2 linked regions of the Oryctolagus cuniculus genome follow. Each later gene encodes a partner of the first gene's protein in a complex. Links are inferred from orthologs where the notes say so. Each region holds a gene or a part of one and is shown in the gene's direction. Other genes may lie near its edges. The genes, in order: OGDH and TCAIM.

The links.
Region 2: the proteins of OGDH (region 1) and TCAIM are in contact, whole or in part, in a cryo-EM structure (PDB 8I0K), measured with the Homo sapiens proteins. The link is inferred for Oryctolagus cuniculus from reciprocal best matches to the Homo sapiens genes OGDH and TCAIM. Residues at the interface, in NP_001425937.1 of Homo sapiens: Gly301, Tyr304, Arg323, Tyr354, Arg356, Ile358, Arg364, Asn365, Lys387, Glu391, Tyr394, Cys395, Gly396, Thr398, Glu399, Lys401, Lys402, Lys561, Met602, Pro605, Glu667, Gly668, Ile669, Asn709, Met734, Ala735, Ser736, Pro737, Asn738, Gln772; in NP_001269842.1 of Homo sapiens: Glu214, Gln234, Arg235, Ser236, Trp237, Gly238, His241, Ser244, His247, Ser248, Arg251, Gln255, Asp272, Arg273, Thr286, Met287, Asp288, Val289, His290, His291, Glu331, Leu332, Gln333, Pro334, Val335, Arg375, Tyr376, Glu441, Ser443, His473.

What each region holds. Positions count from the first base shown.
Region 1 is NC_091447.1:52,004,923-52,021,120, forward strand, and holds the end of OGDH (2-oxoglutarate dehydrogenase complex component E1), read left to right. Parts: intron 1-1,525; coding exon 1,526-1,654; intron 1,655-3,852; coding exon 3,853-4,032; intron 4,033-4,358; coding exon 4,359-4,511; intron 4,512-4,897; coding exon 4,898-5,000; intron 5,001-5,160; coding exon 5,161-5,289; intron 5,290-5,507; coding exon 5,508-5,658; intron 5,659-5,857; coding exon 5,858-5,985; intron 5,986-6,085; coding exon 6,086-6,264; intron 6,265-6,423; coding exon 6,424-6,495; intron 6,496-6,932; coding exon 6,933-7,061; intron 7,062-7,717; coding exon 7,718-7,790; intron 7,791-9,887; coding exon 9,888-10,051; intron 10,052-10,151; coding exon 10,152-10,306; intron 10,307-10,397; coding exon 10,398-10,518; 3' UTR 10,519-11,370; downstream 11,371-16,198. UniProt on the Homo sapiens protein: 2-oxoglutarate dehydrogenase (E1o) component of the 2-oxoglutarate dehydrogenase complex (OGDHC). Participates in the first step, rate limiting for the overall conversion of 2-oxoglutarate to succinyl-CoA and CO(2) catalyzed by the whole OGDHC.
Region 2 is NC_091441.1:112,018,767-112,034,672, reverse strand, and holds the end of TCAIM (T-cell activation inhibitor, mitochondrial), read left to right. Parts: intron 1-3,930; coding exon 3,931-3,975; intron 3,976-5,559; coding exon of another isoform or gene 5,560-5,604; coding exon 5,605-5,800; 3' UTR 5,801-7,498; downstream 7,499-15,906. Other genes in the region: uncharacterized protein C3orf86-like, read right to left, coding at 12,004-12,507. UniProt on the Homo sapiens protein: May regulate T-cell apoptosis.

The sequences.
Region 1 (16,198 bases):
CTGGAGGACGTCCCATAACCTGTGTGCTTGTGAAACTGACCTGCTCTGGCTCCTGCTAACGTGGCCTTTGGGACACGCGTCCATGGGAATGTGTCCTTCCTCGTTGCAACCATGGCAGCCCGCGCACAGGGGTACCGTGCTGCTGCCAGAGCTGGTGGTCAGGCCGCCAGACGGCGTCTCCGCAGCCATCGCTGCCGTGCGTCTGATGTCCCGGTGCAGAGCGATGCCCCTCTGTGGCGCTGCAGCGGGAAGCTCTGCGGGGGGCTGGGAAGTCGGCCGCTGGGGAACACCATGTCCGCTGTCCAGCTGTCCTTGTCAGTGCCCCCACGGCTACCAGAGACGGCACACGTGCAGTCCTGTTTCTAAAACTGGACAGCAAATCGCGAGCCTTGCCTTCCTCGCCGTAGGCCGAGAACGGGGTGAGAGGCCGTTGAGCACCGTGTCGGGACACCTTGCTGTGTTGCCATGACGGCTGTTATAGATGAGATCGTGTTCAGACCTGAGGCCTTGGAGCGAAGCAGATGGCCCTCCCCGGGGTGGTGGACCTTGTCCCGTCCGTTCAGGACTTGGAAGGAGACTGAGGTCCCCACGCAGGCACTCTGCCTCCAGATGCCTCTGGACTTGAGCGCAGGCTTTCTCCTCCCTGGCCTCAGTCAGCCATGCCCTGCTGTCCTACTTCCTTTGAATCACCCAGTCGCTGCCCCCAGCCTGACCCCCGTGGTGGTTTCTCAGCAGGGCTCGGGCCAGCGTGCCCCGCAGTAGCAGGCCGCAGCAGATGGGCAGCCTTGGGGCAGTGGAAGCGACGTGTGCACGGCTGGAGGAGATACCGCAGTTGTGGGGAGGTGGTGGCAGGGCAGGAGCACAGTTTACGTGCACATGTGTGTGTTTCCCGCTCTGTGAAAGGGCCCATCCTCCAGGGGGAGGCTGTGGCCGCGGTGGTGCACAAAGTACAGACGGACGGGGCAGCCCGGTGGTGCACGAAGCACAGACGGACAGGCCAGCCTAGGGGAACAGCAAGAGCGTCGGATAACGACGGGCTCTGTCAGCCACACGCGGCCTGTGGGCGGGGAGAGCACACCGGCTCAAAGTGAGGGCTGGGGGGAGCCGGTAGGAAGTGTCACCTCACAGTGCTACCCTGTGCTCCCCACCAAGGAGGAAGCAGAGAGGGAGACCTGTCAGGTGACCAGGGTGCTTGGTTGATGTCACTCACAGTGGCCCTGGCCTGCGGGTCTGGGGCAGACGGGGCCAGTGTTGCCTCCTGTGGGAGGGCATCTGGAATGGTGAGCCACAGTGGCCGTCCGTGTAGCACAGCAGACAGTGGGGGCAAGATGGCAGGTGTGTGGGGTTGGCCACAGGATCGGGGTCCCTGTGCTCTCCTGCCACCTCAGAACAAACCATGGCTCCCCATCCGCTGCCTGCCCTGCGGGTCCGGGCTCAGGATGTGGTGGGTTTGGGTTCTTCGCCGCCTGCCCTTGTGGGCTTGGTGTCAGAACACAGTGCATGCGGCTCTGCTTGGCGTCCACAGGTAATGTCCATCCTCCTGCATGGGGACGCTGCCTTCGCCGGTCAGGGCATCGTGTACGAGACCTTCCACCTGAGTGACCTGCCGTCCTACACGACCCACGGCACCGTGCATGTGGTCGTCAACAACCAGGTAACCCCCGCCCCATCTCCCTGCACAGTGCAACTTGGTTGTGTGAACGTCTGTTGCTTTCCCATTGTGAAAGTGAGTTGGAGTGGGCGTTGAGCCCAGTGGTTAGAACGCTGGTCAGGGCACCCGTTGCCACGTTGAAACATTCAGTGCCCAGCTCCAGCCCCTGACTCCAGCTTCCTGCTGCGCAGATCCTGGGAGGCAGCAGTGATGGTTCAGGTGCCTGGGTACCCGGATCGAGTTCCCAGCCTCAGCCCAGCCCTGACGTTTGGGCATCTGGGAAATGAGCCAGTGGATGCGGGCTTTTTTTCTTTCTGTTTTTCCCTCTCAAATAAATAAAATTCTTTTTAAGTCGTTAATTATTTTCATCCATTTGAGAGGTAGAGTGACGCAATCTTCCACCTACTGGTTCACTCCCCGAATGCCCACAACAGCCAGGGCTAGGCCAGGCCAAAGCTGGGAGCCCTACCTTCCATCCAAGTCTCGGGTGTGGGTGGCAGGACCATGCGAGCCAACACCTGCTGCCTCCCAGCGTGCATTAGCAGGAAGATGGATCGGAAGCGGAGGCGCTGGAACCAGCACTCCAGTGTGGGATACAGACATTCTAAGCTGTGGCTTACCCCATGCGTCACACTGCCTGCCCCATAAAAAATTTAAATATGGAAATGTTTTTTAAAATGTCAATGCCCGGAGCAGACTTGTAGCACAGTAGCCAAGTCACTGCTTAAGTCCTGGCTCCTCCACTTCTGACTACAGCTTCTGGCTGATGCACACGCTGGGAAGGCAGCAGGTGATACCTCAAGTACTTAGGTCCCTGTCACCTGTATGTCGGGCCTGGTTTGAGTTTGAGGTCCTGGCTTTGGCCTGACCCAGCCCTGGCTGTTGCAGGCATTTGGGGAATAAACCAGCAGATGGAAGTTCTCGTCTGCCTACCTTTCAAATAAAATGAAAAAGTAAATGTTTTTAAATGTCAGTGCCTTGAAAACAGAGGCAGGCACAGGAGCCTTTAAGATGGACTGGACTGGCCAGCTCTGCGGCTCACTAGGCTAATTCTCTGCCCATGGAGCCAGCATCCCAGGTTCTAGTCCCCGTTGGGGTGCTGGATTCTGTCCCGGTTGCTCCTCTTCCAGTCCAACTCTGCTGTGGCCCGGGAGTGCAGTGGAGGATGGCCCAAGTGCTTGGGCCCTGCACCCACACGGGGGACCAGGAGGAGGCACCTGGCTCCTGGCTTCGGATCGGTGCAGCACCGGCTGTGGCAGCCATCCGGGGGGTGAACCAACGGAAGGAAGACCTTTCTCTGTCTCTCTCTCTCACTGTCTAACTCTGCCTATCAGGGGGAAAAAAAAAAAAAGATGGACTAGGCTGAGGGAAAGAAGTCAGGGTGGTGCACAGGGCGTGCGTGTGGACTGTGGTTCGGAGAGCGGGCAGCGGTGACGTGTGGTGTGCGGGTGTTCTGTGATAGGAGCTGTTTGCAGCTGAGCTGTGCTCTGGGCAAGGACGTGTCCTAGCTGCTGGGAAATAGGTCTTGTCTGTCAAAACGTAGTTACCAGCAAGCCAAGAAGATGGTGCTGGCTGTTTGTGGACAAGTGGAACAGAGAGAGCGGCCCGTGGAGCTGTCCTCTTTTTCAGGACAGTCAGCTGTGGGCAGGGACCTGTGGGTTCAGGCCCAGAAACAAGAATAACGAACCGTCCAGGTTTGTCGTTGCTGGGGATGGCTGCGTGGAGGAGCAGTGTATTATCATTCTGTGTCTGAAATACTTCATACAGATGAAATTTTAAAGTTAAAAATTAAGAATGTGTAATTTTGTTACACCCGGGGGTAGGAAGTATCATGTAATTAAATGTTAATGTACCCAAGGGGTAGGGAGTTTTATTTTCAAAGGAAAAATGCTCAGTGTTGATAAGGCACAGAAATCGTAGAAATCATAAGCTTCTGACTTTTCAATATGTTTGCGTTTATGTGCATACAAAAAAGATAGTCTGCAGACATCGGCACTGGTCTGTGGAATCACAGAATGCTTGATTCTCTGTGTTGAACACAGATGAATTCTAGAAATCAGAACAGGAAAAGCCTCGGGAGAACGTGGGCACTCCCTCCCTCTGAGTGGCCGAGCGGCAGGGCCAGGGGCCCACCTTGCCCGCCGCCCTCCTGTCACTGGCTGCGCCAGCTGCCCGTGTGCCAGACTGTGTATTCCTTGCAGATTGGCTTCACCACAGACCCGCGGATGGCCCGCTCCTCCCCGTACCCTACCGACGTGGCCCGTGTGGTGAACGCCCCCATCTTCCACGTGAACTCAGACGACCCTGAGGCCGTGATGTATGTGTGCAAGGTGGCAGCCGAGTGGAGGAGCACCTTCCACAAAGATGTGGTCGTTGATCTGGTGAGTGACCCCAGGCAGAGTCCCCCCCCGCCCCCCCCCCCCCGCCCTGGTGTCCTGTTGGAGGGGCTGGACTCCCTGAGCACCCTGGGACTTCCTAGCTCTGGCCCCCACGTGGGCTCCTCCAGCCAGAGCATCTGAGCCTAGCACAGCCCGGGTGCTGTGGGTGCCAGAGTTTATTCTTGGGCCTGCTTGGAGAGTAAGGAGTGTGTGTTGCTATCACTCTGATGGCAGCCAGGTCAAGAGACAGGACCCTCATTCTAGGGAAGGAGCGCTCCTTCCCGAGGGCTTGCTGCGGTCCCTGACAGCTCCGGCCCTGTTCTGTGCAGGTGTGTTACCGGCGCAATGGCCACAACGAGATGGACGAGCCCATGTTCACGCAGCCCCTCATGTACAAGCAGATCCGCAAGCAGAAGCCAGTGCTGCAGAAGTACGCAGAGCTGCTGGTGGCCCAGGGCGTGGTCAACCAGCCCGAGTATGAGGTGCGTCCTGGCCCAGAGCGGGGAGGCCGCCGTGGGCAACCCAGACAGGGAGCGAGAGCTCCACCCCTACAGCCCCTCAGCCCCCAGGAGGCCACTGAGATGGGGTCTGCGGTGGGGGTGGCGGCCGCTGGCTCCCTCAGCGACACAGCAGTGCAAGGTCTGGCTCCACCCGGGGCCGGGTGTGGTCCCACAGAGGCTGTGCCTGCTCGCTTGCCAGCAGGCAGCCCAGGCAGACACCCCAGAGACGGACGTGTGGGCGCAGACAGAGCTCTGGAGCCCTGCACCCCAGGGCTGCGAGGAGCAGGCACACAGGAAGTAGGAGGTGCAGCGGGGTGTGTGCGGCAGGGCCGCTGTCCCCGTCCAGCGGTGTCATGCCCGACCCTCAGGAGGAGATCTCCAAGTACGACAAGATCTGCGAGGAAGCTTTCGCCAGGTCCAAGGACGAGAAGATCCTGCACATCAAGCACTGGCTCGACTCGCCCTGGCCTGGTGAGCAGAGGGCCCCGCGGAGACCCCTTAGTGCCCGCGAGGTGACCAGGAGGCCCCTCCCAGAGTCCAGCTCCTCCGGCGTGTGCCGCAGTCAGCAGCACCCCGCGCAGGTGTCGTCCCGACACGGTGCTACGGCGCCTCTGCCTGCCCTCCCTCGCAGGCTTCTTCACCCTGGACGGTCAGCCCCGGAGCATGTCCTGCCCCTCCACGGGCCTCACCGAGGACGTCCTCACGCACATTGGGAACGTGGCCAGCTCCGTGCCCGTGGAGAACTTCACCATCCACGGAGGTAAGTGCGTCGGGCTGGCCGGGGGGAACACTGGCCCTCTCTCGTCCTGCAGAGGCCCCGCGGCCCCTCCCACTGCTGCTGTCGGCAGAGCCCTGTGCTCACCGTGCCCTTCCACACCACTGGAAGCCCGGGGCTGCAGGGGCAGAAGGCCCTGGCCCCAGCAGAGTGGAGCAGCCACGCGGGCCAGGCCTGCAGCGCTGTGAGGGCTCTGTCTGCAGGGCTGAGCCGGATCCTGAAGACCCGCGGAGAGCTGGTGAAGAACCGCACCGTGGACTGGGCTCTGGCGGAGTACATGGCTTTCGGCTCGCTCCTGAAGGAGGGCATCCACATCCGGCTGAGCGGCCAGGACGTGGAGCGTGGCACCTTCAGGTAGCGTTGAGGCACACGGGATTCTGGGGAAACAGCCACGCGGCCCAGGCATTGCGGCTACTCTGCCCTCACCTCGTTTGCTGTGCCCCGCGTGCCGGGCGGTCGATCCCTCGAGCGTGCAGGGTCTCTGGATGTCCGTCCTGGCTGCGTGGGCTGTGGCAGCTGCACTCCAGGCTCACGGGTCCTCGTTCCGCCCCAGCCACCGCCACCATGTGCTCCATGACCAGAATGTGGACAAGAGAACCTGCATCCCCATGAACCACCTCTGGCCCAACCAGGCGCCCTACACCGTGTGCAACAGCTCGCTGTCCGAGTACGGCGTCCTGGGTGAGCCCCACCCACGCCCCCCCCCCCCCCCCCGGCCTGCAGCCCCGCCCCGCCCGCTGGCTGACGGCCAGGATGTGGCTCTCCCCCTCGTCCCTTACAGGCTTTGAGCTGGGCTTCGCCATGGCCAGCCCCAACGCCCTGGTGCTCTGGGAGGCCCAGTTTGGTGACTTCCACAACACGGCTCAGTGCATCATCGACCAGTTCATCTGCCCCGGGCAGGCCAAGTGGGTGCGGCAGAATGGCATCGTGCTGCTGCTGCCCCACGGCATGGAGGGCATGGTGAGCCCAGGTCGGGCACGGTCTTACACCACGTGCTGTGCCGGCGGGGGGTGGGGGGGGGATCGAGATTCATCGCCAGGAGGAAGAACCAGAAACAAGCGAGGTGGTCCAGGAGGGGAGCCGCGAGAGCTCCCAGGCCAACTCGGGGGTCTGTTCCAGGGGCCAGAGCACTCCTCTGCACGCCCAGAGCGGTTCCTGCAGATGTGCAACGATGACCCAGATGTCCTGCCGGTGAGTGAGCGGAGTCCGTCGGTCACCCTGAGCCGTCCTTCCCTGGCCTGGGGCTCAGGTCAGGCTGTGGCACAGCTTCGCCTGCTGGCCACACCCCGCTGCTGCTGAAACCACGGTGTGCCGTGTGGCCACCTCCACACAAGCTCCTGAACCAGGCCCGCGCAGATGTTGGAGGGAGAGAACTTCGGGGCATTCTACTGAGATTCCAAGACCTGAAAAGAACGGGTGGTCCGTTTCTAAGGAGGATTGGGGTTGGCTTTAGGGAGAACCGGTGTCTCCTAAAATAGCATGTTTTGTGCTGGGTGGAAGTTCACAGCAGTGGGAGGGATCCAGGGGGAAGCAGAGGGCAGGGCCCTGGGAGTGGCGCCCCTCGCTCCTAGACGCCCGCGTGAGGGGCTCAGCGCTCCTGCCCAGCCCCTGGCCGCTGCTCCCCACAGGACCTGCAGCAAGCCAACTTCGACATCAGCCAGCTGTACGACTGCAACTGGGTCGTCGTCAACTGCTCCACGCCCGGCAACTTCTTCCACGTTCTGCGGCGCCAGATCCTGCTGCCCTTTCGCAAGCCGGTCAGTGCGGGCCTGGCCTGGCCTGAGGATGACCTGTGACCCAGGGCGCTGACCCTGCAACGCCGGCACGGGGCCAGGCTTTTCCCAGGGCCTCTAGCTTGGGGCTGGCCAGTTGTTGCCTGGAAGGGGTGCATGGACAGGATGGAGTCAGAGCTGGGTCCCTCTTGGCGTTGCTCCCAGGGAAGGGCAGGCTGTGAGGTCCAGCCCAGCAGGGCGAGGGTGGTCATGGGAGCAGCTGGGGTTGGGGGGGTGCTGAGTACTGGAAGACAGAAACCCGCAGGGGCCCAGGGCTTGCAAGGAGCTGCGTGTTGGAGAGTAGGTAGGCGCCGGGTCGGGGTACGAGCAGAAGGAGGGGAGTGTATTCCCAGCAGCCAGCCCGTGAGCCGGCGGGGCAGGGCGGTCCTGGGGTTGGACCTTGTCACGCCCTCTGGCAGGCCGACGGTGTGTTTGCTGTGACTGCCAGAGGCTCGGGCTCTTCCTGGGTGCGGGGTGGGGCCAGGGCCTCAGCAGCTGGGAGCTGGGTGTCTGCCCCCGCTGAGGGAGGCTCCGCCCAGCACTGGGCGTTGTCTGCTGGGACCCAGGGTCCAGCTTGGGTGGCCTTGGCTTCCGACCAGCTTCTGGGACTTGGAGAGCATCGTGGGCCTGTTGTCTTCCAGCTGATCATCTTCACGCCCAAGTCCCTGCTGCGCCACCCTGAGGCCAGGACCAGCTTTGACGAGATGCTTCCAGGTGGGTGGGTGGGGTTGGGGGTTCCCTGCTGCTGCTCTGTGGGGCTCGCAGGACTTCACGTTTGACTTTTCCTGGCCGTGGGCAGAGGCTGCTGGCTCTCGCCTGTGAGTGCCCCCAGGACTGCGTAGAGGCTCTTGAGAGCCAGCGGCTCCTGTGACTCCTCCCCCGCACCCCGGCTCCTGCAAGGAGCGCTGGCTGTGCCGGTGCGGAGTGAGGCCCGGGCCTGAGGCCTCCGGGTGGCTGTGGGGAACAGGTGCTGGCAGCCGTGGCCACTTGAACGTGCCCAGGTGCTCCTGGGGCCAAGGCACTCACCCCCTCCCGGCTGCCAGGCCTCCTCAGGGCCGTGCGCGGACGAGCACGTCTCCGCAGCCCCGCCTTCCGCCCCGTGTTGGTGTGTGGCAGCGGTGGAATCTCCCTGGAGCGTTCGCCAGTTCTGTTTTCGCGCCGAGGAGCTGCCAGGCCCCGCCAGCGGCGCTGCGCCCTGCTGCATCCCCTGCCGCGGCGCGTCCGACACTCACACTCGCGCTTCCCGCTGTGCTGCTGTTAGCAGCCGTCCTGCTGGGCATGAGGCAGTGGCTCCTCGTGGTTTTGATTCTCATCTCTGAAAACCTGACGCTGGGCGTGTTTTGTGCGCTTAGTGGCCTTTAAAGAAACATCTCCACCAGCTTTGCCCACTTTTTTTTTTTTTCTTCCCCTGACAGGCAGAGTTAGAGAGAGAGACAGAGAGAAAGGTCTTCCTTCCGTTGGTTCACCCCCAAAATGGCTGCTATGGCCGGCACTGTACCAATCCGAAGCCAGGAGCCAGGTGCTTCCTCCTGGTCTCCCGTGTGGGTGCAGGGCCCAAGCACTTGGGCCGTCCTCCACTGCACTCCCGGGCCACAGCAGAGAGCTGGACTGGAAGAGGGGCAACCGGGACAGAATCTGGTGCCCCAACCGAGACTAGAACCCGGTGTGCTGGCGCCACAGGCAGAGGATTAGCCTAGTGAGCCGCGGCGCCGGCCAGCTCTGCCCACTTTTAATCCAAGTGTCTTTGTGTTGCTGAGCCTCAGCTCTCTGTCCCCGCTGTTGTTCCTCACCAGAGACGTGCTTCCCCTTCCATGAGTTGCCTTTTCATTCTGTTGACAATGTCTGGTTTACAGAACTTCTAGATTTTCATGAAATGCAAACGGTCTGTTTTCTGCTGTTGCCTCTGTCTTTGGGTCATATCCAAGAAATCATTGCCAAGTCCATTTTTATAATATTTTCCCATCTTTCTCCCAAGAGATTTGGAGGCCTAACTCTTAGATTTAGCTCTTTGATCCTCTTTAAGTGAATTTTCCATACATGCGTTCACAGGCTTCGTTCTGTCGCACATGGGTCCCAGTTTTCCTAGTACTGTTTGTCAGAACGACCGTCGCCTCCCCCAGCAGACGGAATCCTGCTGGTCGATCATTTGAGTGTGTATGCAGGGGTTACCTGTGGGCCCCGTCTGTACTGGTACCACACACACTGCCAGGCACAGTCCCAGTCTCGCTCGTGGGTGGCAGGGACCCAACTGCTTGAGCCGTTGTTTGCCGCCTCCAAGGAACTGCGTGGGCAGGAAGCTGGAAGCACTCTGAGGGGGGCCTGGTGTCTAAATCAGCGTCTGAATCACCAGGCCAAATGCCCGCCCCATGTCCGTGACCTCAGAGCAGAGCCGTCAGCCTCCAACCACGGAGTCTGACGGTTCCTGTGGGCTTCACAGATGGCTTTTCTCATGTTGACATTTGAAAATTTTCATCATGGCACTGAGTTTGAACGTGATTTCCTCACTCAACCTTGTTCCCCTCGGCACCTGGTCTGTCCTCTGACCTCTGTTGAAAGTTCTTAGATTTGTAGACGCGTGAGGCATAGGCATGCAGGAGACGGGTGTCCTGATGGCTCGGTTGTCCCTGAATGCCCGTATCAGGCTCTGTGGGAGAATCAGCCCTCGCACAGTGCAACACGCTTCTCCAGTGCTCGGTGTGCAGCAGAGGCTGCGCGGGGTGGCCTCCGTCCCACGCGATCCTCCGCTCACAGCCAGCACCGCTGGGTGGGCCTGGAGAAGGAACCAGCCCGGCCCCGGGGATTCTCTTGTAGGGACCCACTTCCAGAGGGTGATCCCAGAGAGCGGCCCTGCAGCTCAGGCCCCCGCCGGTGTCAAGAGGCTCCTCTTCTGCACGGGCAAAGTGTACTACGACCTCACCCGCGAGCGCGCCGCCAGGGGCATGGCCGAGCAGGTGGCCATCACGAGGATTGAGCAGGTGAGAGGCGGCGTCTGTTCCGCGAGACAGCCCCTCAGGGCAGCCCTGCCTGCGCCCCGCGGCGCCCTCTTCACCACCACCCCCCACCCTCCCCCCGCAGCTGTCACCGTTCCCCTTCGACCTTCTGCTGAAGGAGGTGCAGAAGTACCCGAACGCCGAGCTGGCCTGGTGCCAGGAGGAGCACAAGAACCAGGGCTACTACGACTACGTGAAGCCCAGGCTCCGCACCACCATCGACCGCGCCAAGCCCGTCTGGTGAGGCCCCGCCCCGCCGGGGGACGGGACGGGACGGGATGGGCCGGGCCTGCCGCGGCCGTCGCCCTCACGGCCCGTCTGTCTGTCCCAGGTACGCGGGCCGGGACCCAGCGGCCGCTCCGGCCACCGGCAACAAGAAGACACACCTGACGGAGCTGCAGCGCCTGCTGGACACCGCCTTCGACCTGGACGCCTTCAAGAACTTCTCGTAAACGCTCCGGGGTGCGCCGCTGCCCCCCACGCCCACGCTGCCCTCGCTTCTCAACTGAAGGATAGTGCCTGAGCGCCACCCACTCTGCCCCCGCTGTGCCCTCGTAGGAATTAGGCCCCTGTCCCTGAGTGCCGGCTGCCCGCCGGCTCCCGGGCTGTCCTGACTTCTGTCAGGCCGAGCAGCTTTCTGGGAGGAGGGGGCAGCAGGGGAGAAGGATGCCCCTCCCCCCAGCTCCGGCTACACCCCTCCCCCAGCACCCCCCCTAGGGCAGAGGAGAGCCCCTGTGTGGCCTCCCGGAGCGGCTGTCCTTGTCACCCAGCGAGGCGTGGGCTCCTGCACTGGGACAGGGGCTTTGTCTTCCCACAGCCAAGCCTCAGGATCCAGAGGGCCTGGGCTGGCAGGGCTTCCGGGAGGCCCCGGCTGTGGGCTGAACCGTGGATGCTCGCGGTGGCTCGAGCCCCACAGTGTCCATCCCAGGCTTCCCCGTGAGTCCAGGGCCCCACATGGGGCCGTGTCCCACTCACCCTCTTGGGGCCGGGCAGCACCCTTGGTGCCCACAACCGGGCGCTGGCCGCTCCGTCTCCGTCCCAGTCCCGCGGACCTGCTCCCCGCCACACCCCGCTCCCTGCTGTTTCCCATGATCCCAGTGGAGACTAAATGAGTCCTTTCTTTGCTGTGCCAAAGCAGGTCAGGAGCAGGAGGTGGTAAGGGCTGCAGCCGAGGGCCAGCCGCCTTCGTCCTCACTTCGACCTTCACAGGGACAGATCTGATTATTTATTTTGGTTAAAAAAAAAAGAACAAAAACAACTTTGCATTGCATCGGCTTGACCCATAAACTAAGTTATCCACAGGCTGTCTGAGTCATTCTGTGCACTCCGCCTTCTTCCCGGGGGCCAGTCCCCTTCTCGGACATAGCAGCCGAGGCCACCAGCGGCCCCCTTGCACGCTGGGGCAGTGTGGCCCAGGCCCAGGCCCCGACGTGCACCGGTGCTGTCCTCGTGAGCGTGGTGCGGCGGCCTGGCTGCAGGGCTGGCTTTAGGTGCAGCCTGGTTCTGACCATTCCAGGCCCTGTGTCCTCTCTGGTCAGGAGTCCACGATCTAACCCATAATGACCCAGGCGTCGGCCTCCTGGTGGGGCAGGTGCCTGGGAGTGTGTCCCCAGGCCCGGCCCCCCTTGCCCAGCAGTGCCCACCTGAGCCATGCCCGCAATGTCTGGATCTCGGGTTTACCCCGCTGCTGCCTCCTGACCCCGGCCGATGCTGGCAGGAGCAGGTGCTCGGGACACAGGTCCCCGCGCCCGATGCAGTGGGGACCCAAGCCGCACGCGAGCTCCCTGGGGCTGGAGAGTCCTGTGTGCAGGAGGAAGCTCTCGGAACTTCCCCCACTGGAGCCTCCATCTGGGCAGGGGTCTGGCCTTTCCTGCTTCACCCCAGCCCCAGAGTCCTGTTGGAGGGTGGCCACGACAGGACATTCTGGCACGGGGCAGCCGGCAGCACTTCCGGGTCAGGTGAGGTCACCGGCCCTGAGCCCTTCCTGTGGGGCCGTGACCTCGGGGTGGGCCTGGCTCCTCAGAAAGCTGTTGAAATGAGTGGGGGCTCTAGCCGTGCTCCAAGCATGGATCTGGCCCTGAGCCCCCTACAAGACTGACGTGCACTGGCCAGGGGCCTGCTGCTGCAATGCCCTGGACTGGCCTGCTGGTGGCGCCCTCCTCACCTGCGTTTGCTGCAGGCCAGGGCCCACGTGTGTGCGGTGTGGGGTCAGGGAAGGGAACGTGCACAGTGGGCAGGGATGGCCCAGGGTAGCGGCATCGGTGAGGGAGGCGTGGGTCTGGTTCTCTGTACAAGCCTGTGCTCAGGGCTTGAGCGCACGGACCCCAGGAGCTCCTGGCTGCACCTCTCCAGGTGGGCCAGGGGACGTCCTGTGCCACTCTGGATGCGAAAGGGCCCACGCGCCCCAGCCGCACGCGAGACTGGATGGTGAGATGGACTCTGCCTGTGGCCACACAGCTGCTGACAGCTGTGAGCCCAGGTGGGCAACGGCTCCCTGGGCTGCCTGGGAGGTGCTGCCCCTGTTGGCTGCTTAGTCCAGGTGGCTGTGGCGGTGAGCTCGGGTCAGGATGGGATTCAGCTAGGACTGGCGTGAGGAGAGACCGTAGAAAGTGCCCCTGTTTTGGCGTCTGTGAGCCCGCAGGCGGAGACCCCCGCTTGTCCAGCTGCAGTGTCCACACTGCACAGCTAGCCAGCCTGATCCTCCCCTAACCAGACTGGGTCAGGGCCTGATGCCAGCTCTGCCTCCCCCAGCCCACTCCAGGATTTGGGTTCAGTACTCACTGGTGACAGAGTTCACCGGGGGCATCCAGGGGTAGTGACACCTCAGGGAAGCCAGGTAAGGGTTGCCCGTGGGCACGGCAGGCAGGAGGCCACGCCCACACAGTGAGCAGGCCTGGCTGAGAAGGGAGGCCAGGTGTCAGGGCGATTGGGTAAGGGGAGGAGTTTTCCTTTGGATCCTGGAAACAGCTCACAGGAATCCTGCTTGGCTGAGGAATGGAGAGGAGGAGCATAGGGTGGCCCCCAGAGACCTAGGCCCGGCGCTGCCCGGGCAGGTGTGCAGGCCCCAGCTGGAGGTGGCCTGGCCCAGAGCCCTTTGATTGCAACAGCAGTGAGAGGCCTCCAAAAGGCATCTGTGGGGGTGGGGCTAACGTACAGGCCCTGAGGCTGGAGTGACTGGCAGGGTCCAGGGAAAATAAGTAAATCCTTTAAAAAAATGACAGCCGGCGCCGCAGCTCACTAGGCTAATCCTCTACCTGCGGCGCTGGCACACCGGGTTCTAGTCCCGGTCGGGGCGCCGGATTCTGTCCTGGTTGCCCCTCTTCCAGGCCAGCTCTCTGCTGTGGCCTGGGAGTGCAGTGGAGGATGGCCCAAGTACTTGGGGCCTGCACCTGCATGGGAGACCAGGAGGAAGCACCTGGCTTCTGGCTTCGGATCAGCACAGTGCCGGCTGTAGCGGCCATTTGGGGAGTGAACCAATGGAAGGAAGACCTTTCTCTCTGTCTCTCACTGTCTAACTGCTTGTCAAAAAAAAAAAAAAATGACATTTCTGGGGATACTCACATACCAGAACCTGTGTCTGTTGATAAAATCATGATTTTTTTTTTCATTAGCCTGTTACACTGACTCTCAAACTTGGATTCCTCAAACAAACCCCAGTTTCTCATAGTATATAATTCTGCATTGTAGAGTTCTTTCCTTATATGTATTCCTGCTTTTGACTGGCACTGCCATCAGTCATGGCTGTCTACCGCGTGCGGGGTGACGGCCCTCGTCCCTGTGCGTTGGGAACACGCCAGTGCTCTCGCCCAGCTGCTTGGAGACCTACAGTTGCTGTCAGTTTGGCTGGGCTGCCCTCCTGCGGCTGGGAACATCATTCTGTCCTGTGGTACCCTGGGCCCCATCAACCCAGCTCCCCTCTCCCCGTCCCGCTCTTCCAGGCCCTGGTAACCATGGTCCCCTCTCTGCTCCTAGGAGACCAAGGCTGTGGCGTCCTCGTGTGTGTGTGAGCATGCGGCATATTGTGCCTGATTTCATGTAACACGGTGTGCTCCACTTCCATTCGTGTGGCTGCCGGTGACAGACTTGCATTCCTTTTCATGACACTGTGGCTGTAGACACATTTATCCTCTCATCTGTTGCTGGACACAGGTTGATGCCGTGTCGCGCCCACTGTGCATCCAGCTGTAACGAATCCGAGTACCGTTAGAGCGCGAGTCTTTTGGCGGTGTACCCAGTCCTGGAACTGCTGCGCCAGATGGTAGATCTAGTTCTAGTTTTTTGAGGAAACCCCACACTGTTCTCCGTAATGGTCATATGAATCTACAGTCCCAAAATTTTGTGTAAGGGTTCTCCCTTCTCTGTATCCTTGCCAGCATGTGTTATACTACTCCTTTTTATTTATTTATTTATTTATTTATTTATTTATTTATTTATTTGAAAGGCAGAGTGACAGGACAAGCTTCCACTAGCTAGCTCACTCCCCAGATGGCTGCAACCGCCAAGACTGGCCAGGCTGAACCAGGAGCCAGGAGCTCCGTCCAGGTCTCCGAGGTGGGTGGCAGGGACCCAAGTACTTGAGCCACCACCTGCTGCCTCCCAGAAATCCGGGACTCAAATCCAGGCAGTCTGACAGGGATGTGGGCGTCGGCGGCCCTGCACCAAACAGCTTGGAAGAGCTTAATACTGGATCTGGTGGTGCTCCAGGTACTACACATGCAGAGCTTACCACAGTCTGCTGATACTTCATTTTACCAAGTGATGTGTAGGAACCTTGGCTCCCTTTGCATCCTGTTACCCTGCTCCATTTTGTGGGGGTCGTCCCAGAGCGTGGGAAAGTCCCAAAGCAGATGTGGGCTCCCCAGCTCCGCCCAAATATACAAATCAACTGCCCAGGGGCCGGCGCTGTGGCGTAGTGGTTAAAGCCGCCGCCTGCAGTGCCTGCATCCCTGTTCGATCATGGGAGAAGAGCACCCTAACTGCCAAGCTACGGCAGTCTCCATTGCTTTCTGCAACACACTTACTGGACAGTTTCCATAAATTTTTCTAGATACATTTAGAGCCAGGTCAGATGTGGTGTAACTTTTCTTCAGCCACCAAACATCCTGTGAAGGACTGGAGGGAGAGAGAGGGCTGTTGCATTTAGCTGCACGTTTTGCTTTCTGTGTTACTGTGTCCCTGGTGCTGTAGGAGACCTGTTATCATCATTGCCCTCCTAGAATGACCCGGGGCCGCCCCCAGATTAGCAGCTTCCGGAGGACTGTCAACAGCCAGGACAGTGCGAGGGAGACTCCCTCCAGGCTTCTGTGGGAAGTGCGTCCTCTGCCAGGCTGTGCGGTGGCCGCTGAGAGGAGCTCCAGTGACCCAGTGGGGTCAGACACCAGGACCCCGGCTCTTCCGGAAACTCCGCCCCTGCAGAATAAGAAGAAAAACTCAGTTGCGAGCAGGATCAGATGGAGTTCCAGCCATGAGTACAGGCATACACACCGCCTTCCTTAATTAATAAATAAATAAATAAATAAATAAATAAAAAGTTTATTTACTTGCTTGAAAGGCAAAGTGACAGATTTTTTTTCCCCACCCCAAATGGCCACAACAGCCAGGGCTGGGCCAGGCTGAAGCCAGGAGCCCGGAACTCCATCCGTGTCTCCCACGTGGGTGCAGGGGCCAAGCACTTGGGCCACCCTCCACTGCCTTCCCAGGCGCGTTAGCAAGGAGCTGGTTTGAAAGCTGCAAGAACTGGCTCAACCTGCTGCCCCGCCACGCTGGCCCCTTTGCCCTACTTGCTAATGGGTGCCACCCTGCAGTCACTCATCTAATAAGGGAACTACAGCCCTCTTGCCCGTAGCTGGCTGTTTTGAAACTCTCTGGAGAATAAAAATAACCTCCACTTGTGATATTCCACGAGGGAGCGCTCCCTGAAGACCCTTGGCAGAGCGTGGCGTAAGGACAAGCCCTGCCTTTGTCCAGGATACCTTCCCGGCCCTTCTGTCAACTGTCTCTGCACCTGCGCCGTTTCTCTGCATATAAGTGTTCAGACGCAGGCGCTGTGCCTCCGAGGGGCAGGTTTTCCACCTTGTTGGCCAGGCGTCCTTTGGAGGTATGAAGGTAGGGTTTCCTGTCCGGGCTGCGGGC
Region 2 (15,906 bases), on another chromosome or scaffold:
TATGTGGTCAATCCTAGAGAAGGTTCCATGTACTGCTGAGAAGAATGTATAATCTTTAGCTGTAGGATTGAAAGTTCTGTATATATCTGTTAGATCCATTTGGGCTATAGTGTCGTTTAAATCTACTGTATCCTTGTTGATCTTCTGTCCTATTGATCTGTCTATTTCTGAGAGTGGAGTATTGAAGTCCCCCAGTACTATTGTATTGGGGTCTAAGTCTCCCTTTAAGTCCGTTAACAAATCTTTTAGATAAACCGGTGCCCTGTAGTTAGGTGCATATACATTGATAATTGTTATATCTTCCTGTTGAATTGATCCCTTAATCATTATGTAGTGTCCCTCTTTGTCTCTCTTAATGGTTTTTGTGGTAAAGTTTATGGTGTCTGATATTAAGATGGCTACGCCTGCTCTTTTTTCATTTCTGTTGGCATGGTATATCTTTTTCCAGCCTTTCACTTTCAGTCTGTATGGATCTTTGTTGGAAAGATGTGTTTCTTGTAAGCAGCAAATAGATGGGTTTTGTTTTTTAACCCAATCAGCCAAACGGTGTCTTTTAACTGGACAGTTCAGGCCATTCACGTTCAATGTGACTAATGATAAGTGGTAACTTTGCCCTGCCATTTGCCAAAGATAAGTTCTAATATATGCTTTGAATTCCCTGTGATCTTTTGCTGTGAGCTTTCCTTCCTTGGTTTCCTTCCTTTACCTTCTTTCATATTGATGACCGTGTTTCTTTGTTTCTGTGTGTAACACATCTTTAAGCATCTTTTGCAGGGCTGGACGAGTGGCAACAAATTCTTTCAATTTCTGTTTGTTATGAAAAGTCTTTATTTCACCTTCATTCACAAATGATAGCTTTGCAGGATATAATATTCTGGGCTGGCAGTTGTTCTCTCTTAGTACCTGGGCTATATCTTGCCATTCCCTCCTAGCTTGTAGAGTTTCTGATGAGAAGTCAGCTGTGAGTCTGATTGGAGATCCTCTGAGAGTAATCTGACGTTTCTCTCTTGCACATTTTAGGATCTTTTCTTTCTGTTTCACTGTGGAGAGTTTAATTACAACGTGCCGTGGTGAGGATCTCTTTTGGTCGTGTTTATTAGGGGTTCTGTGAGCTTCCTGTACTAGGATTTCTCTGTCCTTCTCCAAACCTGGGAAATTTTCTGCTAATATCTCACTAAAAAGGCCTTCTAATCCTTTCTCCCTCTCCATGCCTTCAGGAACTCCTAGAACCCGAATGTTGGGTTTTTTAATAGTATCCTGAAGATTCCCGACAATATGTTTTAGATTCCTAATTTCCTCTTCTTTTCTTTGGTCTGACTGTATCCTTTCCTGTTCTCTGTCTTCTAAGTCCGATATTCTCTCTTCTGCTTCTCCCATTCTGTTTGTAAGGCTCTCTATTGTGTTTTTCATTTGATCTATTGAATTCTTCACTTCAGTCACTATCCCAGTTTCCTGTTGTACTAGTTGTTTCGTTTCATTTTGATTCCTCCTTAATATTTCATTTTCACGAGAGAGATTTTCTATCTTGTCCATTAAGGATTTCTGTAGTTCAAGAATTTGTTTTTGAGAACTTCTTAATGTTCTTATCAATTTTTTGAGATCTGCTTCTTGCATTTCTTCTATGTCATCATCCTCATAATCTTGAATTGGGGTGTTTTTTTCATTTGAGGGCTTCATGGTGACTTCCTTGTTTTTATTACCTTGGTTTTTGCGTTTGTTATTTGTCATATTGGAGATATTTGGTTTCTTCACTGTGGTGCTTTTTCTTGTTATACTATGACTCTAGATTAAGTGGACTATCTGTTTTTGATGGAGCCTTAGGGCTTGAGATGGGTGTGGCCTGAGAGCTCTGTTTGGTGTGCCAAAGGTGACACTCCCAGGTTAGGCGTGGTAAACCTCTCTCTCTCTCTCTCTCTCTTTTTTTTTGATTCAACAGGGAAGTTATTCTGCACAGCTGAACAAAGTTGGAGGTAGTTAGCAGGCAAATGATATACCCACAGGAGCCAGAGATCAGAAGCTCTTTCCCAAGGACCACACAGGGAATCTGTTCGGCCCTTAGAGTGGGCTCAAATTCTCCTTCAGTCTCCCACTGGGTTGCCAAAGTTACGGAATTGTAGCGTCTCTGGAGAGTGCTCACGTGAATTCCGTGAGTTCTCTCCCCCACCGTCTCTTTTTTCACAGTCTCAGTTCAGTAGCACCATAAATTTACTAAGTCCTAATCTCCTGTTAATTCGCCCCACCCAGAGTCAGGTTTTACTGCTAGGCTCAGGGCCGGTGCAGACCTGAGGTCGCTCTGCTTATGACGTATGTCCAAGATGGCGCCTGCTCTTTGTCTTGCTCGCCCTTGAGAGGTGAGCGGAGAGAGAGAAACCCGTATCCATACCAGTCACCTTTTTTTTTTTCCCTCTCTCTCTCTTCCAGTTAGCTTGGTGAAGTCCCCCCCGCCCCGGGGGTCGTTCCCTCTAGTCTCCTCTCTCCGCTTGCCTGCCGGTGTCTCGGGTTATTGAGGTTTGGCTCACCTCGCGTTCCAGCGCTGGTGTGTTGAGTCTGCCGCTGATGTCCCGAACTGTGGGCTCCCACGCTCTCCACGCAGGTCTGCTCCAAAAATAGCTGTTTTTAAAAGCTGAATTAAACTTAGGAAACTAACTAGTGAATAGTCCATATTTGTTTATTCTCCACCTACAAGAAATTTCATGTGGCTATTTTCTAAGTATGAGTGTAAGTAGGTAAAGTGCATTACCACCATGTCACCATGTACCTCAGTTTGAGAAGCAGGGTTTGTTAATAACAAAATTCAACTCAAGAACAGAATGAAAAATAAAAATACCAGAAAGAAATTCTCCATTGCGTTCCCTCTGTGGTCCCTCTTCTCCTTGACACAGAACGCGCATGCACACCCTGGGAGGGCAGAGCTGGACCTGTTTTATTCCCCAGCCGGCCCTTAGCAAATAATCCACCAACTTTTCTCACTGCCTAAGCCCCTCCCCAGCTCCGGGCCCCGTCCCATGCTTATGCTCCAAGGAGAACAAGCACTTGCTTCCAGCCCAGCACACCTGCCCGCTGAGTCATGGCCTTCACTGTCCCCCAGACTGGGCTCTGGGCCCACCCCAGCAGCCTGCCCTCCCCATGGTCCTCTCTCCTTTCCTTTGCTTTCTCCCCGTGTCAAGGTCGCCTCCAACGCATTCTCCAGGGAGGGATTAAGGCACCTTCTCTCCTTACAGGAACCATGTTCCTACTGATCCTCTGATTTTCAAACCCTTTCCCACTGCATACATCTTTATAAAGCAGGTTTTTAAACAAGATAGAAGTTGACATCTCCTCCTCTTCCAGGAGAAACTCGAGGCAGCCATAGCCGTAGGCGCGCTGCACACTTGTGCAGGGCGCCAGCTTGCTAGACAGGGTGAAATGCATTCTTCTGACCTAACACCTTCCTAGGACCCACATGACCGTCTCAGTAGCACCCGTCTCCTGTTGCCTAGCTGGGGCGTAGAAAAGGGGAACCCACACTCCTCTGAGGCCTCAGCAGCCCAGTTTACAGCTCTTGATGCAGGCTGGCAATAAGGAGGGTGGCCGGCGCCTGAGAGTAAGCCAGGCTCCCAAGCATGGACTCACTCTGATGTTTCACTCACCCAGTGTCACCCACTCCAAACTCCAGAATCACCTGTACAAATTGGAAACAATGGAAATGCACAGTAATAGACAAGTGGAGGAATTCTGACGCTTGCACAAGGCGGAAACAGCCTTGTAAAAGAATGCACATTCATTCAGCCAGCATTTCTTGAGCACTCGTGCTAGCAAACCAAAGTCACAGCCTAGAAGGACTGATGCATTCTCCCCATCATCGGTGGGGGCCCAGACATAAGACCATGGTAACATCTGACATTCCCTCACGCACTCCAGCTGACAGCAACGTGTGTGTTGATGTTCCAGGCTGAAGAGCATTGAGCAGGAGTTGATAGAGGCTTCGGCAAAGAGGTTCTCCCTGGAGAAGCTGTACAAGGAGCCCAGCCCGGGTAACCTGGGCTGAGACCATAGACTTCTTTTAGAAGGAGTGTGGGGACCCTACCCAGGTTTATGTAGGGAGCAGCTATGGAACCACACAGAGCTTGTTCACACTGCAGGCCTCGTTCTAAGTCAGGCTATAGATATCTTGTTAATGTCTTTATTATTTTTTTGAGCAAGTGGAAAAGCCCCTTACAGGAGCTTGTCATGCCCTGCTGTGTAGTTCATCCTAAAGATGAGTTCTGAGAACTGAGAACCCCGTCTCCCCTAACCACTGTCTGCTTTCTTGAATCTGAGCAGCGCTGTGTGGAAGCAGCCAGCAGCCCCCGAGAGGGTGATCCAAGGGCAGCTGACTACAGACCCGTTAACAGTCACTTCTGCTTACCTCACGGGTACTTTATGATAGTCTCCTCTTTCGTGCAGAGTTTGAGGGTGGTCAAATACAGGAGAGATGGCTGCCGTTAACCTGTACAGTATTTAAGTGACACTGGTTCAGAAGCACCTGACTGTGGCTTGTACCTTATCCGTAGGTATCATATGCGTTGGTCCAGTCTACCTGTGCAAATGTCAGGTAAATGTGTTGTGAACACAGCCTTGGGAGTGGGGCATGGGGACAATTAGTAGAACACTTGATCCAGGAGCATTTGCCACCTCTGGGAGAAAGGATTTGAGACACTGAGTTCAGCTTGCAGGTATTGAACTTGTAGGCCTGGACGGGAGCTCCTGGTGGGACAAGACACCTGAAAGGGAAGGATGAGAAAGGGATTGGCAGGGGTGGAAAAGTCAGAGTGGCGAGAACATGGTGTCCCAGCTCCAGCTTTTGCTGTGAGCCCACTGTCTACTCTGGGAAGATTTAGAAGTCGGTACTGAGGGCTGGCATTGTGGCACAGCAGGTTAAGCCGCTGCCTATGACCCTGACATCCCATGAGAGCACTGGTTCAAGTCCTTGGCTGTTCTGTTTGATCCAGCTCCCTGCTGATGTGCCTGGGAAAGCAGCACAAGGTGGCCCAAGGGCTTGGGCCGCTGCCACACACGTGGGAGAGCTGGATGGAATTCCAGGCTCATGGCTTTGGCCGTTTGGAAGTAAACCAGCAGATGGAAGATATCTTTCACTCTCACTCTCGCTCGCTCTCTAAAACTCTGTTTAAATAAATAAATAAATGTTTGTTTGTTTGTTTTGGAAAAAAAGTTATTAGTGCCCGAGGGTTAAACTTCAGGTGGTGCCTAAAGCTTGGGGTTTTATATTCTCAACTTTCTGCTTTCTTCAGTCACTAGTAGCTGCTGAGTGAAGCAGGAAAGGAGCTTTTGAAATTGTGCATTAATTATTTTTGCCTTACTGCTACAAAGATTGACAAATACCGTACTCTTGCAATCCACGAGGAGACCCCTCCCGAGGGGCTGTGCAGTGACTCTTCACAGGAAACATCTCGGGGCCCAGTGAAGGCCACTGTCATTGCCATGCATGGGGAGCTGCAGCCCCAAGACATAAGACCATGGTAACATCTGACATTCCCTCACGCACTCCAGCTGACAGCAACGTGTGTGTTGATGTTCCAGGCTGAAGAGCATTGAGCAGGAGCTGATAGAGGCTTCGGCAAAGAGGTTCTCCCTGGAGAAGCTGTACAAGGAGCCCAGCATCTCGAGCGCGCAGATGGTGGACTGCTGCACAAGACTCCTGGAGCAGTCGCTGCCTTCCCTGCGCGGCATGCACCTGTGCGTCTCCCACTTCTACTCCGTCCTGCAGGACGGAGACCTGTGTATTCCCTGGAACTGGAAGAATGGAGAAGCCATTAAGTAACACAGAGCCCTGTTTTATTTTTTTAAAGCCATAAGAAAGAAGCTGTTAAATGAAGCTTATTTAAATCCACAGTTTAATACAACAGTATTATTTACATATTACAAAAACAAAAATTTCTAGATGCTGCTTTAAAGGTAGATCTTTTTTTTAATTAATTTCTGCTGGAAAATCCGTTTTGAAAAGGTTTTATCTCCCAGTTTTACCATGTGGGCTGACAAACCTAGGTAAAAAGAGGTTAGGAGAAAGAACATATTTTTAGAGATATACAAATGAATGATTCGACAAGAGTTGTCTATTTTTATAAATGTAAATGAGGCTGGACAAGTGTGTGTGCGTGCGTGTATGTGTGAGAGAGAGAGGATATAAGAAAAGTCTGGAGGGATCTCCTACATGTAACATGACTCAATATGCATCGTTATGGTTATGTCTCTCATGTACAAATGCACACACATTATTTTGCAGCCAGCAAGGGACAGCTGATGTCCAAAACCAATGATGGATAAGTAGAAAAAATTAGATAATCGATTTTTGCCTCAGAGAAAAAGGAACAAGATCAGCTGAATCCATGGGGCGGACAGTGTCATGAGCAGTGTGACATATTCAGTGACAGAGAATTTAGTTGTAAACCCATCATTTCTCCTCCCGATTAAAAAACTAGCCGTTGCCAGCACCAAACCAGCAGACAGGACACTTGTCTGAAACCCTGAAGGAGGAGATTCGTTGGTGCCCATGGGCACACACCGTCAGGAGAATTCTGGCCTGCATCCCAGAGAGCTGCGAGGAGTCGAGTGGAATGTAAAATGGCTCACACCGCTCAGGACTTCTGTGCCCCCAGCCCCCACCTTCCTGTCCCTACCGACATTTGAAACCCCTGGTTAGCCCTGCAGGGTACAGCGTCCCCAGCAGAGCCAGAGATCAGATGTACGGGGTGCAGCTCCCTCTGCAGTTACCCCGCCATTCCTTCGGGTCATATTTTAAACCAGATCCAGGTCCTTTCTCAAGGAGACAAGGTGAATCCCAGTGCAGGACACTGTTTTTGTGGCTTTTGCTGCTGAAGAAATCGGAATTTTTTTCCACAGTACACTGTTAGAGTCAGTTAACTGAGGTATGTTTTAATTTCAGCCATGGATTATTTAAGTAGTTGGAATTCAAATGTGTGTTCATCAGAAGTGTTGATTTATTATAATTGTGCCTCTTGGCTGTACAACTTGAACATCTCCAGTCTGAAATGCCCTCAAATCCAAAATGGTTTGAGCATCGACATGATACCACAGTAGGAAATTCTACAGCTTGAACTTTGTTCCATGTACAAAATTATTAAATGTTGTATAAAATTGTCTTCAGTCTGTGTGTATAAGGTATATATGAAACATAAATGAATTTCACGTTTAGAACTGGGTCCCACTCCCAAGATAACTCAGAACATCTGAAATCCAGAACTCTTCTGGTTCCAAGCATTTTGGACAGGGGATATTCAGCCTGTACTGAAAATCTGTTTTCTAATGTAACAAATGCTGTCACCTGTAACAATTTCCCACAACCAAATAATGAGTGAAAAATTAAAACTTCACATAAGAAAAATAATCAAAATATGAGGTTTGATTTGTACGTTTTCTAAAATCGAAATACGTTCTGAATTGGATTCTTGTCTCAGAACTAATGGTTACATGATAAATAAAACCTGCATCAACCAGGTAACTGACTGGTCTTGTTAGCGAGTTATTGGCAGTTTCACAACCGCCGCGGACTAACAGGAAATTACAAGACCTGGAGACCTGTGGACGCCCGTCTGACCTCCCCCCGCCTAACAGCAGGGAAATGTCTCTTGCCACTCAGAACTGGCGCAGCGCGGGCCCCTCTACCCCTTGGTCTCCAAAGGGCTGAGTGTGCCAGTGCTGGGCTAGGGCCGTCCCCAGAAAGCTGGGGCCCCTCCGCTCCAGCTGCCCAGCCAGGGAGGCATGTGTCCAAAGTCTGCTCAGGCCCTACTTCCTCTCAGAGGCCTCCACCTCCAGGCAGCTTCCCTGAGCTAATGAGAGCACTGCACTTTGAGGGATGGGCAGGATAAGAGGGGCCAGGACCAGCTCAGTTTGGGATCCTAAAGGATTGGCTGCACAGCCCAGGCAGAGGTCCCGGGAGTGACCCCTTCCAGTTCAGGTCACTTGTCCAGCCTCCCAGTCTCCCCTCCCCCACACTAACTCAGCCTCTTCCACAGAGGCCAGCAACCCAGCCTCCAGCTACCCTGGAGGGTTCTGTCCAGGCTTCCCTGAGCATCCATTAGACCACATCAGGTCTGCAGAGACAGATGGGCCTGGCGCTCCAAGCTCTGGGAGAGATCATGTCCTGGCATGCTCCCATCCACAGACCAGGGAGCAGATGCCAAAGACTGGGCCCAGCAGCTGCCTGACCACAAATTCCTGACCTGTTCCAAGACCACCCGTCACTCATCCATGTCACCTGGCCAAAGCCCAGCCTGCAGCCCCCTGACAACAGTGCCATCACTGCCAGTGCCTATCCTTTGTGTAAGAATTGGCCCAGGGGCCGGCGCTGTGGCATAGCTGGTGAGGCCGCCGCCTGCAGTGCCAACATCCCGTATAGTTGCCAGTTCGAGTCCTGGCTGCTCCACTTCCACTCCAGCTCTCTGCTGTGGCCTGGGAAAGCAGTGGAAGATGGCCAAAGTCCTTGGGCCCCCGTACCTGCATGGGAGACCTGGAAGAAGCTCCTAGCTCCTGGCTCCCAGCTTCAGATCAGCACAGCTCCAGCTGTTGCAGCCATTTGGGGAGTGAACCAGCAGATGGAAGATCTCTCTCTCTGCCTCTGCCTCTGCTAATGAGAGCACTGAGATGATTTCCTGTGGAGGCAGTGACCGCAAAGGAGCCGAGGGGTTGGGGAGGGACATCAGAGGCCCGGGTCCAGCTCTGAGTCCCAATCCTCTGGCCTCACATGAGACCTGTCTCCAGCAGCTGGTTCTGGCCCATGCTGTCTGCATGCCAGGCTGCCCTTAGTCCCCGGCAGGAGTGGCAGGTAGATCCTGTGGACATCCGCAGGGTGGGAGACACTGAGGCCTGTCCAGATGCTGTTTGCACACCCCCAGTGATGGAGAGCTCATTCCCTCCCCAGGCAGTGCTCAAAGCAGTGTGTAGCCCTGAACAAGCAGACGCTCTCTCCAAATGGAGCCAAAGTCTGCCTCTGGGGCTCCCCACTGAGCTCCTGCACTGGCCCCACAGTTGCTGTGGGACAGCTCCTCCTCCAGTCACCTCAGCACGTGTCCCGCAGACAACCTGGTGCACCCCTGCCTCTGCCTCGGACAGGCCACGCATGCCTGGGTGCAGACTGCTCAGGGGAGACAGAGGCCTGCCCTTGGGTACTGGTCTGAGTTGCAGGGTGGCAAGTCTGGCTTGCCTGAGTGGGATGGGGAACAGCCACCAGGAGCAGGCCAGGGTACCCTCCTCGCCCAGGCCTGGCAGTGTGTGGCCTGGGATCCCCAGGGACAGGTAGCTCCTAGGATCTGCCCCCAACTTCCACTTCAGCCATTGGGAAGGCAAAACATGAATTCCATCAGCAAACAACAGAACCCTCAGTCAGAGGCAGAGACATGGACATGGACAAAAGGGCATGCAGGTCTCCCATCCACACGTTCAGTCCCCGGATAGCCCGGCCTCAGCCTGGACTGGGCCAGAAGCCGGGAACTTGATCCAGGTCTCCCACATGGATGGCAAGGACCCAGCCGCTGGAGCCATCACCTGCTGCCTCACAGGGTCTGCCCTGTAGGAGGCTGGAATCAAGGGCCAGAGCCAGCAAGTGAATCCGGACACTCCAATATGGAACATGGGCATCTTAACCACAAGACCAAATGCCTGTCCCTCCGTAGCTCGGATAGTCACAAAGCCCCACTCGTGCCCCTACCCTGCTGTCCACACACACACACACTGGCCTGCGACTTGGGCCCAGGGTGAGCTCTGTGGAGCTGTTTTGGGCTTGGCTTTAACTGCTAGGCTCTTGTCAGTGGCCTGCGTGGAGGGTCCACACCCACTGCTGCTTGGCTTTCTGGATCAGAGACCCTGAGAGCTCAGACTGATGGCTATCTTGCAAGTGGGCAATCCATCCAATCTCGAAAGGAAATTCCTGCCCCACTTTTATTACGTCATCAGCAGGCCTGCTGGGTCACAAGCTGGGGGACTGAGCCACACTGGCCTGAAAGGACTTCCTTTGTCTGGGTGTCTGTTCAGGGCATTAGTTGTCCTGAGAATTCCACTGGTGTCACTGAGCTGTGATCCCACACCATGCTGAGCCCAGCTCCCTGTTGAAGGCTCAGCTTTTACCTTGCTGAGAACTCCTGAGATACCTGCTGGGACCCTTGTAAGCTGGATGAACATGAGGCTAAGTGGCCACGTAGGTCAGGATTCAGTGGTCCTGCCAGACAGGGCACCACTGCCTGCCCAGCCAGGACCAGGGTCCTGATGACCTCCGAGCCCTCTCTGCCTTCCAGCCTCACCTGCTCAGCATCCTGTGCATCTCGTGACTGCAGACCATGGCTGCCCATCAGCAATGACACCAAGGACTTGATCAAGGACACCCTGCATGGGGCCTGGAGACAGCAAACCAGTCCACCCACTGCCCTGTGGACCAGCCAGGCCCTGCCCTCTGCCACGCTCAGAAGCAGCCTGGCCTTGAGATCTGCTGACCCAAACCTAGGCCTGACCTCCAGGCTTCCACCCAGCCCATCACTGAGCACACGGGCACTGCCCAGGAGACTGGGCAGGCCTGGTGGACAGACCTGCTCTCCCCTGCACTGTGCATGGAGGAAAGCTGAGGCCAGGGGAGGCAGGGTCCACATTGGCCACGGAATCAGGACTGGACTCCAGGCGAGTGCTCCCCAGCCCAGAGAACTGGGCTTCACAGGGTCCTCAGCCTTGTCCACCTGTGGCCCCCGCCACATAATGGGGTGGGCAGGAGGCAGGGGGGGTTCTCAGGGCAGCCAGGATGCCCCATGGCCTCATTTCCTGGGGTAATTCAGAAGCCATAGGAAGGAGCAGGAAGCCACTCTGAGCCTGGACGTCCAAGCTAGCCCACCTGGAAGAAGGGCCCTGGTGCTCCTGGCCCAGCCAAGAATCAGATGAGGGCTGGAGGCTGCCTGTGTGGGGTGACTCCAGGGCCAGGGCTGACACAGCCTACAGGGGGAGCTGAGGGAAGGGAGGGGGTCTCCTCTATGGGGTAGGCATCCGTGAGCCAGAGGCTTTGGGGTCTCCTCCACTGCATAGTCATTCTCTTCCTCACCCCCAAAGTCTACTTCCTCAATGCCTAGCAAGTCAAGTTCATGTGGCTCAAAGCCAAGGCAGGGGCACAGTGCCCCCTGGGCAAAGCTGACAGCAGGGCTACAAGGCGAGCTAAAGGGCAGAGGTGCCAGCTAGCATGGGTGCTGGCTCCTGGCCACACCATTCCAACACGGCTCTGCGTGCCCCACCACCCTGTAGCATCGCTGACACACTGAGTCCGCCCTAAGCAGACACTCCAACTGCAGCTGCTCTGTGACGACCGGGACCCAGCCGGATCTGCACCGGAACTCCAGCAACTTCTCCAACAGCTCCTCCCCAAGGCTCCCCATGGCCCTGGGCCTGCCTGCCTGATACGGGGTGAAGTCCTCATGGGTGCAGCTCCCCACTGCTCACCACTCCATTCCCAGAGGGCTGAGAGCAGCAGCCAGGACTAGGGCACATGCTGCCCACTTCCCACTAAGGCATCATCCAAGCCTGTTGCATCAGCAGCCCAGGAAAATCACAGAGCCGGGGATGAGGGTCTGTCCAAAAGGCCAGTGTCCACCCTGGCTCCTTCCACTCTTAGCTCTGGCCCCTCACTGCCCTGGAGATGACCCAGGCCATGCCCCAGGGACACTGGGCCTGAGGGTTCTACTCTTCCTGCCTGGTCCCCATCCCCACCCGTGGAGGTCTCCTCTGCCTATGGCTTAGACACCAGCATCAGAACAGCCTTGCCGACCCATGGAGCTAAGAGGGGAAAACCCAGATGGTCAGGAGGCAAATGAAAGTCTAGAAGAGATCATGTGTCAAAAATCTAAACACAGTTTATGTTGGGTTTGAAAGCGTTTGGCAAGGTCCTCACAGAGCATAAAGGTGCACAGGAACAGGTGTGGCTGCCCCAGCCACGGATGGCTCAGAAAGCTGCTTCAGGGTGCAAACACTTCCCGAGGCTCAAAAGGAAAATCGGTTGTTTCCAGTAATAACATTTTTCAGCTTGCAGGTGAAGGCCCAAGGGCTGGAAGGATGGGGAGAAAAGGTGGCCACGGATGACCTCTGGCCCAAGCCAAGGGGGCCGAGTGTCAACAGAGCGCCCCCTGGTGCTGAGATGGTGGCGGGGAATGCTGAGAACTGCAAGGGGCTCCTGGCTCCAGTGTTAGCCTGGCCTTCTGTGGGTGTCCAAGGGAGGGAGTCTCTTGAGCTCTTGTCTTTCAGTGATGCTGTGGGTAGAGGCGAAGGGACAGGCCTCTGTGCAGGGGCGGCGAGCAGGTCCTGGGGACAGGGAGGAGCCCCCTGCACGCCCCCATGCTGAGAGCCGGACTTCTCTTGTGGTGTTTCAGGAGCAGCTGCAGGCATGGTGGCCTTCCATGGTGGGTAGGTGACTTCTCCAGTTATCTCATTGACCCAGAAAAACGTATCTAGAGGTTTCTTCCCCGATACGAACTGACTCCTGGACATCTCTACGAGGGAGAAGAGCAAGACAACAGGGAGATCTTCCAGTCTTCCCTCCTTGGGGGTGGAGGCTTAGAAGGGGCCTCACACGCCTCGGCATCCCAAAACCCAAAGCTGCACCTGTCGGGGGATGCAGTATCCCCAGTGCTACAGACAACTTCCAGGACTAGGAAAAAGCCCAAAGGGAGGCGCAAGATCCATGCTAGAGTTTTGTTTTGTTTTCTTCCTCTTTCTTTAAATGTTTATTTGCTTATTTACTTTTTATTTCAAAAGGGGACAGAGAGAAAGAGAGAGATCTTCCATCCACTGGTTCACTTCCTAAATGCCTTCAACCACCAGGGCTGAGCTACACCAAAGTCAGGAGCCAGTAGCTCCATTCTGGTCTCCCACAGGGGTGGCAGGGGCCCAAGTATTTGGACCATTTTTCCCTGCCTTCCCAGGCTCATTGGCAGGAAGATGGGCCAAAGCAGGAGCCAGGGCTCCAACTAGCACTCCAGTATGGGATGTGCTGGCATCGCAAGGCAGTGGGCTCAACTCACTGCACCACAACTCCAGCCCCTTGCTTTGCTTTTCAATATTTTCAATCTCCACATCCTCAGGTTGAACATCCATGGATTCAACCAACTATTGGTTAAAAAATAAATAAATAAATAAATAAATAGTCTGTATCAAGCATGCACAGACATAGGCCTTGTCAGTATTTTCCACACAGAGAATTCAGGGGGCTTCAAAAAGTTTGTGGAAAAATGGTATTAAAATATAATGCACATTTTCCATGAGGTTTTGAAGGTCTGTCATACAATGTAACAACAACTTACATAGCACCACGTTGTATTAGGCATTATAAGTCATTTAGAGATTACTTAAACAACACGCCAGGATGTATATCAGTGACAGACAAATATATAAGCAAACCTAGCATCCAAATATTTTGATATCTGAGGCAGGGGGTTGAGGAGGTAGGGAAAGTCCTGGAACCAATTCTGCACAGATCTGAGGGAGGACTGGCTACTGAGAATGCTATACATCCTGACCTGGATCCTGTGTGTGTGTGCATGTGTGTGTATACACTAACAATTTCATGAAACAAAGTTATGTGCAATGGTCTTTCATATTTTCTTTTTTTTAAAGATTTTATTTATTTATTTATTTGAAAGGTAGTTACAGACAGTGAGAGGCAGAGGCAGAGAGAAAGCTCTTCCCTCTGCTGGTTCACTCCCCAAATGGCCAAAACAGCCAGAGCTGTGCCGATCTGAAGCCAGGAGCTTCTTCTGGGTCTCCCATGGAGGTTCAGGGGCCCAAGGACTTGGGCCATCTTCTACTGCTTTCCCAGGCCATAGCAGAGAGCTGGATTGGAAACGGAGCAGCCAGGACTAGAACTGGTGCTCAAATGGGATGCCAGTGCCGCAGGCAGAGGATTAACCTACTGTGCCATGGTGCTGTTTCCCATCTTTTATATTTTCTATGCAATTAATTCTACTATATTCCTTAAGAAAATGTTGTTTGCCACATGTAAAAACTCATTTTATCCAAAAGTTATTTAATTACAACTTGGAAAATGGTCTTGGATTAAGAGAATGCAGAACGTTGAATCCCATACAGAAAGACAAAAAAAATCACTCATGCAAGTTTTACAAAAACATGACCATGTGTGGTCAACAGAATGGTCCACCAAAAACAGCTATGCGCTGATACATGGAACTTGTGAATATATTGAGTTCTGTGGCCAGAGACTTTGTAAATGTGGTTTAAAGCACGGCCCTCAAACTAGGGATATTATTCCAGGTCATCCAGGTCAATCTGATCACTCCAGCCCTAAAAATTAGCACGATTTCTCTGACTGGGTCAAGGAGAGATGCCACAGTAGGAGAAACGAGATTCTAAGCATGAGGAAGACTCAGCCTGCCATGGCTTGCTTGATGCTGGGAAGTGCCTAAGTAGAAACCATGAGAAAGAAATTCTCAGGGTGGGTGTTTACTTGAATGGTTATGAAGCCTGTGTTCCTTGGGGCCAGTGTTGTGGCACAGTGGGTTAAGGAACCACCTGTGATGCCAGCATCCCATGTGAGCACTGGTTCATGTCCTGACTGCTCCACTTCCAATCCTGCTCCCTGCTAATGCCTCTGGAAAGCAGCAGATGGTGGACCAAGTTGGGCTCCAGCCAACCCCTACGGGAGACCCAGATGAAGCTCCTGGCTCCTGGATTCGGCCTGGCCCAGCTCCAATCATTGAGGCCATTTGGGGAGTGATCCAGCAGATGAAAGATATCTTGCTCTCTCTACGTCTCTCCTCTCTGCAACTCTGTCTTGCAAATAAATGAATCTTGAAAGAGAGAGGAGGGGAGGGGAGGGGATAGAGAAGAGAGACAGAGAAGAGAGAGGAAGAGAGGGAGGGAGGAAGCCTGCATCCTACATTAAATTGCCTGGGTCTGACGAAAGAAGGGAGGGAGGGAGGGAGAGAGGGAGGAAGGGAGGGAGGGTCGGTCTTACATTAGATTGCCTGGGTCTGACACCTGACTCTAATCTCTGGCCAATGCAGACCCTGGGAGGCAGTGGTATGGGCTGAAGTGATTGGAGTTCCTGGAGATCTGGATTAAGTCCCAGCTCCTAGCTTCAGCCCACAGGCATGTAGGGAGTGAACCAGTAGGTGGGAGACCTCAGTCTGTCTCTCCCTCTCTTTCTCTTTCTCTCTGCCTCTTAAATAAAGAAAAGGGGGAGGGTAGAATTCTCAATAAAATGAAGGATCCTTCCCTGGAGCCCTTGGTAAGAGCCCAGGCCGACAAAACTTGATGGTCTTGTGAGACTCTAGGCAGAATATCAAACTCCTAACTCTAAACGGGTGTTGCTCCAAGCAGCAACGTCTGTGGCCATCTATTACAGGAGTGATGGGACACACATAGTGTGGGCCAACCTGGGACCCACACAGGACGGGGGCTGCAAGGCTGGGAAACTCTACCTACTTGCTTTCCCTCGAGCTTGCTAACTGCTTCACCTTCACGAGAACAGACACGGTGACTTGTTGCCCCTGAGAAACTTCAAGTTTTGCTACTTGATACATCGACCAGCAGCATTCAGGGTTCTGACACCTGCATCCTACGTGGCGTGGCGTTTCCCCCACCATCCCCTGGTGGCCCACGAGGCTATGGGGGAGTCAGCACGTCATGCAATGATTCCTGGATCACAGCAGGGACAAGGAGTGCTGGCCAGGAGCCAGGGGACTACACAGGTCTGAATGGCTCAAGGCTCACCTTCCGGAAGGCTCTGCGGTGGAGGAGTCTGGGGAGGGAGTTCCAGAGAGCAGGGGAGCTTCGGAAGGCATTAGGAGGCTCCTAGCAACCTGATCATTATTGTGTAAAGCACTTTCTGCCCTATCCCAGGCTGGATACCGCCTGGCACTGTCAGAATCC